2 separate regions of the Mus musculus genome follow, and region 2 is reported to be linked to region 1. Evidence: microRNA targets listed by miRTarBase, many of them from high-throughput screens and not tested one by one. Region 1 holds a microRNA gene; the other region holds the end of a gene's coding sequence.
Evidence for each region. Region 1 holds the annotated microRNA mmu-miR-669h-3p (UAUGCAUAUACACACAUGCACA, at 1,894-1,915, shown strand). A microRNA usually pairs through its seed, bases 2 to 8, with sites in the 3' UTR of a target mRNA and lowers its output. Matches are read on the target gene's strand: a 7mer-m8 pairs with bases 2 to 8, a 7mer-A1 pairs with bases 2 to 7 and ends in A, and an 8mer does both.

Region 1 (3,411 bases):
TAAATGCATGCTTACACTCATGAGGACTTAGAGATCAGCCTGTGATTTATGTGATTCCCCCCATGCATGTGAACGTGTGTATAGTTGTGTGTGCATGTGTGTATATGAATATATATAACATCCACACATGTATAAATGCAAGCACAGAAACACACAAACATAGGAATGGTACTCATCGATCCATTTGAATGATATATGACTTAGAGTTTTAGAGATTATGCAGTAGAGGGACAGTGAATGGTCTCAATCACCAGGTGTAAATGATTGACAAAGTCAGGAGGATCAGGAGTTCAAACTCCATTTAGAGATCATCCTGGTATTCATTTGATGCCACCCATGTATGTGCACGTGTGCTTACATGTGTGTGCATGTTCATGAATGTATATGGATATGCATGTGCAGACACACACACACATGCAACACACACACAAACACATGGTGACTTGCATTCATCTACTTGCATAATATGTGACTAAGAGTTTTAAAGATTATGCAGTACTGTGCCCGTGCATGCTCTTACTCAACAGGTCAAAGTGCTTGCCAGAGTCAGGCCTTAAAGGTATGTGACTTAGAGTTTGAGAGATTATGCAGGGCTGGATCAGTGGGTGCTCTCACTCACAAGGTGAAAATGCTTGCCAGAGTCAGGAGGATCAGGAGTGGAAATTCATTCTCAAATTCATGATTAGGTAGGGATCAGCTTCAGATTCATGTGATGGCGCCCCCCCCCCCCAGTGTATGTGCCTGTGTGTATATGTATGTGTGCATGTGCATGTGTGTATATGAGTATACATATACATACACACATACCCATACAAGCATGCACACAAATACACGCAAAATCGCCACTCATGGATCCATTTGAATGATATGTGACTTAGTCTTAGAGGTTCTGTATGACTGGGCCAGTGCGTGATCTCACTCACCGGGTGAATAATCCTTCCAGAGTCAGGAGGATCAGGAATTCGAATTCATGCTTAACTTCATAATGAGTTAGAGATCAGATGCGATTCGTGTGATGCCCACCAAAAATGTGCATGGGTGTATAGTTGTGTGCATATTCATTTCTCTATATGAATATGCATATACACGCAAGCACACACAGGAATGGCACTCATATATCCTTTTGAATGGTATGTGACTTAGAGCTTTAGAGTTTATCCAGTAACGGACCAGAGCTATGTCTCAGTTAGGAGGTGAGTATTCTTGCCAGAGTCAGGAGGATCAGGAGGTCTAATTTATGTTTAACTTCCTGATGAGTTAGAGATCATCCTGGCATTCATGTGATGCCCACCAATAATGTGCATGTGTGTATAGTTGTGTGCATATTCATTTCTCTATATGACTATGCATATACACACATGCATACAAACTCACATACAGGAATGACAGTCATATATCCTTTTGAATGATATGTGACTCAGAGCTTTAGAGCTTATGCAGTACTGGGCCAGAGCTATGCCTCAGTTAGGAGGTGGATACTCTTTCCAGAGTCAGGAGGATACGGAGTTCAAATTCATGTTTAACTTCATGATGAGTTAGAGATCAGCCTGGAATTCATTTGATTGTCCTTGTGTATGTGTATATATGTGTAGGTAAGTGTGCTTGTACATGCATGTATATGAACATACACACACACATACATATACACATAAGAATGGCAGTCATAGATCTGTTTGATTTATATGTGCTTAGAGTTTTATAGAGTGTATAATTATGGGTCAGTGTTACATCTAACTCACCAGGTGAAAACCACTTGCCAGAGTTAGAAGGATCAGGAATTTAAATTCATGCTTAACTTCCTGATAAGTTTGTGATCATCCTGGCATTCATGTGATGCCCACCAAAAATATGCATGGGTGTATAGTTGAGTGCATATTCATTTCTCTATATGAATATGCATATACACACATGCACACACACACACACTCACACACAGGAATGACACTCGTTTATCCTTTTGAATGGTATGTGACTCAGAGCTTTAGAGCTTATGCAGTACTGGGCCAGAGCTATGTCTCAGTTAGGAGGTGAATACTCTTGCCAGCGTCAGGAGGTCCTGGAGTTCAAATTCATGTTTCACTTCATGATGAGTTAGAGATCAGCATGCGATTCATGTGATGCCCTCCCCCATGTATGTGCATGGGTTCATACTTATGTGTGCATGTAAATGTATGTATATGAATGTTCACATACATATACATAAACACACACACTGGCATTCACCTACACGCACATTAGTGGCTCTGATCGATCTATTTGAATGAGATGTGACTCAGAGCTTTAGAGCTTATGCAGAACGGATCCAGGGCTAGTTCTCCCTCCAGGTGAAAATGGCTTCTGTGGAAACCTGACAGCCTGAGTTGGATCTCTGGAACTCAGCACACAGGCAGGCTATGGTGTGATTCTTTTGGTTTTTCGTACACCTGATGATTTTCTTTGAGTTTTCAGATTGCAATATATCTTAATTTAAAATTTATCGTTCATCTGGCTCGGGAGACTGGAATACCTCCCTCATTAATAGCTGTCTTCTCTTTCATTCTCTATGAAAAAGGTCACTTTTAATTGAATGGGGTTAAGAGGTAAAGCTGGGTTGCTCTTAATATTGAAAACATTTCTGGTCGTTAAAAACTAAGAATCCTTTTGCTTATTTAATAATTCTTTAAGAATTTTTTTAAAGTGTTGTTTTTCCCTGTCAACACTTGATATTTATATGATATTAGAGTCTATTTTTGGTGATATCTTTGTCTCCTAACATAATTCAAACTAGAATGCTGTGCTTGCTTTTACACAGAGAAGTGCTTTAATTGTTGTACGAAATGTGTCCCAGCCTAATTCTTTTTCTGTAAGAAGCAGCGTTGTGGCTAGTGTTCAGGTCAAATGGACTCTCTGGTTCCTCTGCCCTTGCCTAAGGTTCTGTTGTTTTTCTGCAGTATTCCCTGATCGTAAATAAGAAGAACTCATGGGAATGCATGAATGCCTACTGTTTTAAATGACCTTGGAGCACCCTGAGACATAGGCGAATATTGCACTTCTTCTCACTGCTTTCGTTGGTTTTCCGTTGATTTTTGGGTCTAAAATACCAGCGCCTGGTCCCGTGTTAGGACACCAAAGCAGAGCCCACTTTGCAAGTGTTTTCTCGTCCATTATGGCCGTACTATTAGAAATCTGTTCTCAAGGCTCATTCCTGCTCCGCCATTCTTGCCATCCTTGTTGCTGATGTCTGAACTCACAGCTGAGGGTTTGGACTCAGTGTTTCTTTTCTAGTGGGACCCACTTCTTCTCTCTCCTGAAGAGCTGTGTCTCTTTCCTAGGTTCTGTGATGGTGATGTCTTTGTTTTCTTTTTCTCTTCCTTCCCTTCCCCTCATTTCCTCTCCTCTCCCTCCTTTCCCTTCCCCTCCTCTCTCTTCTCT
Region 2 (3,411 bases), not on the chromosome of region 1:
GCCATGTGTCCCCTAGTAGCAGCAACCGGAAGCTCCTGAGTTACCCCTCAGAAGAGACCTCCTTCGTGACCCCACTCCAGGACACCCCCTGTGGTCTATCGAGGTCCCTTCTGGAACAGACCCTTGACCCACAGATCTGTGTACATGGCCCAGCCCGCCAAAACCTCGGACAACTTTCTACCTGGGAGTAAATCCATTTTAACTCCACAGGCTCTATGGTGGTGCATGTTATTCAACCTCTCTGGACCTTTTGAGAAGACTCAGCTAATCTTCAAATCCCTCCTCATCCCCAGAATACGGTTTTATCGAAGTGTCTGGTATATCATAGGTGATTAATAAATGCTTAATCTGGTGAAACTCCAGCTATAGGCTATGCTAGTTTCCAATATCTTCCTGCTTTCTAATATTTTTAAAATTTTAATGTAGTCACACGGGGTGGGGGGGGTACCATTCTGTGATGCACGTGTATGGAGATCAGAGGACAATTTTAAGGAGTCAGTTCTCTTTGTCCGTCTTTACCTGGGTTCCAGAGCCCAAACTCGGGTCACTAGGCTTATGTGGCGAGCATTTCACTGGCTGAGTCTCCTTGCCAGCCCCTTCTAGTCCTCCACACTGAACCGCCCACCTGTGTGACTCAACCCCAGACAGTGCCTGACCTAGGGTAAGAACTCAAGTAACAGGCCCTCCCTATCTCAATGATAAATTACTCTTGGCTTAGCTTTTATTTGACCCTACTGGCTCCACCCGAAGTTGCAAATCTACCAAAGGTTAAGGGCTGGTAGAGGGACCTGGACAGTTCCCCCTCTTCACTGTCCCATACACTCCAAGGGCACAGTGTATCAGTCCTGCATGCCATCTGCTGCTTCCTCACACCCACACCCAGTGTCTCCTTGGATGGCCTGGTGGAAACAGCATGGAGCCTCAAGCTGGCAAGTCCTTTTATTGGGAACAGAATAAAACAAAAGGTCTCCCTCCATTTTGCCTCTTCCCAACCTTCCCAACAGGCTGTGCAAAGTCAGACAGGACGCCTGGCTGCACAGCAGGCTACAGAGGGCACAGGCTTCTGCAGGGGATCGGGGGCTGCAGCTCGGAAAGAAGGGGTTCATTGCACCAGGGCTCATGGGGCTCGGGCACCCTGAGGCGTCAGGGGCTTGGCCAGCCCTCTCCATCCGCAGCACAGTCTCCTGCTGTAGAGAGACAGGCCCTTTCAGCTCCAGGAAGCTGCTGATAGTGGCTGGTGATTCCTGTCTAGTTCTAGCACCTCCTGCCCGCTGAGGTAGGCAGCCCCTTTCTGTCCATCTTAAGGCCCCAGGATGCATCACCTTCAACTTAGCTCCCCTAGGGAGCCATGGCTCCATTCGCTTTTCCTCGCAAGGCACATTTGCCTTGAATGTCCGGGGAAGCTTCATCTACAAGGGCCTCAGGGTCCTGACACCTGGGCAGGCTGAATATGCAGCATCTGTGGCCCCACTGTGCCATGGGGGCTGGGAGAGGGGCACCAAAGACCACCTAAACGCTGGCTTGGTTCTCCTGGGAGCCCAACAATCCCTCCATCAGAATGTGTACAATAGAGCCAGAGGTGGGAGAAAGGCCAAGAGGAAGAGCCAAGCTGACAGCCCAGCTTTAGAACATTGACTTACAGAGGGCCAGGAGGGACTCACAGAGAGGCTCTGCAGACCAATGTGAGACAGGATGGGGCAGGACTCAGTAGTCATTAGCCCAGCAGCCAAAGAGAACACACAACGACACAACCGAATCTCTCTCTCTCTCTCTCTCTCTCTCTCTCTCTCTCTCCCCACACACACACACAAACACATGCATACTTACACATAGACATGTATACTCACGCAATACACTTGTGCACACGCATACATAATTTGCATGCACGTGTTGCACACATGCACTTACCTTCTCCCTCATTCACTCAGATAAACATAGGTTCACGCACATGTGCACATACACACATTGACTTGTGCAGTCATACATATACAGGCACTCATATTCATACCCTTGTTTGCTCACATGTGTACATGCTTAGCCACCCATACAAATACATACATACATTTGCGCACACAGTGCACTCCACATGTATGCACACGATGCAGGAATTGGATCCAGTTCAGGAGTTCAAGCTCTGTCCAGCTTCATTCGTCCAAAGTTTTCCCATACCCCAGTGGAGCCCATCAGAGTCCTAGGCTGAACCCCTAAAATCAGTTCCTGGTGGGGTGCAAAGTCTCAGAGTTGGGTGCTTCTTGGCAAGGCTGAGAGAACTTTCGGCTCTGAGGACAGGAAAGTCACTGCCTTTGGAGCGGCTGAATAGCTCCCAGGGCACCCATCTCCCCAGATCTCCAGTGAAGAGATGGGACCACTGACAAGCAGGAGCCCATAGTAGCGTTGGGCCTTAGAAAGAGTCTTTGAGGGTGAAGTATCATGCAGGGTGGGAATTCTCCAGGCCCTCCTTAGAGTGAGGAAGGAGGCAGGAAAGATAGGGTTTGTCCAAGCTGGGTCCCCCACCCCCACCCCAGACATCCTAGGACGGTCTGGGTCTGATGACTCAGATCAGCCTCATGGGAGAAAAAAAAAAAAAAAAAAAAAGGTCCAGGGTCAGAAAGAAGAAGATCCTGCCAAGGAGCAAAGGTCTGGGGACAGGGAACAGCGGGCAGGCACCCTCCCTTCCGCACCACATGGCAGGGTGGGCCCAGAGAAAGACTCAGAAGCGGGTGCTCTGGTAGCGCAGCCTCCGTAGATCTGCCAGCCCCTCGCTCCGGCTGTACACCTCCCTACAGGGACTCTCGGCCAGTCACCGGGCCCCCGCCCCTCCCCCGCCAGCGCTGCTGCTGCCGCTGCCGCTGCTGCTGCCGCTACTGGAACTACCACTGCTGCACCGGTCCTCATAGATGGAGATCTCGATCTGGGACGATAGTTAAGGAGCTTCGAGCACCCGGCTGCTAACCAAAGAACGGAGTACAGACCCAGAACGAGCCTGTGACCTGAAGCACTCTATTCCCAAAGACCAGAGGCCTGACTAAAATCCAAACCCTTCTCCAAGCCTCAGCTAACAGTTTCTGAGAGGACAGAGGGCTGAGTGCACAACGGGATCCCATGGACAGATTCTGGCTTTCTTCGAGATGCACTGGGAAATGGTGTTAGATACAAACACTTCCCTTTCCATATCCCTAATGGCCCACTCCAGTTAGGCCAGGCCAGGCCAGTCCCTTCACCTGCTAACAGTCAATTATTACATCTGCAAAGTGGGGACACTAACAGCGCCTTGAGGTTCCTGTGAAAATTAAATGGAGTACCTGAGTACTGAACACAACACAAGAACTCAGGAAAAAAAGAATCGGGGGAAATATGTGTGTTTCTGGGGACTATGTTTTCTGAACTCTTCTCTCAGCTTTATTGTAAAAT

Region 2: miRTarBase lists Golga7b as a target of mmu-miR-669h-3p. Seed matches in the 3' UTR shown: 7mer-m8 at 1,816-1,822.

Annotation. Positions count from the first base shown.
Region 1 is chr2:10,516,326-10,519,736 of GRCm38, forward strand. Mir669h (microRNA 669h) reads left to right here and starts at 1,830; the gene lies at 1,830-1,954. All of the region lies in intron 10 of Sfmbt2 (Scm-like with four mbt domains 2), which reads left to right. It overlaps Mir297a-4 (microRNA 297a-4), which reads left to right and starts at 742; the gene lies at 742-839. Mir669i (microRNA 669i) reads left to right here and starts at 1,279; the gene lies at 1,279-1,405.
Region 2 is chr19:42,267,852-42,271,262 of GRCm38, reverse strand. It overlaps Golga7b (golgi autoantigen, golgin subfamily a, 7B), which reads right to left. Exons shown (of 5, transcript NM_027694.2): 5 at 915-2,911. The coding sequence ends at 2,801. Among named protein-coding and RNA genes, the nearest start is that of Gm34347, 7.5 kb to the left of the region's middle.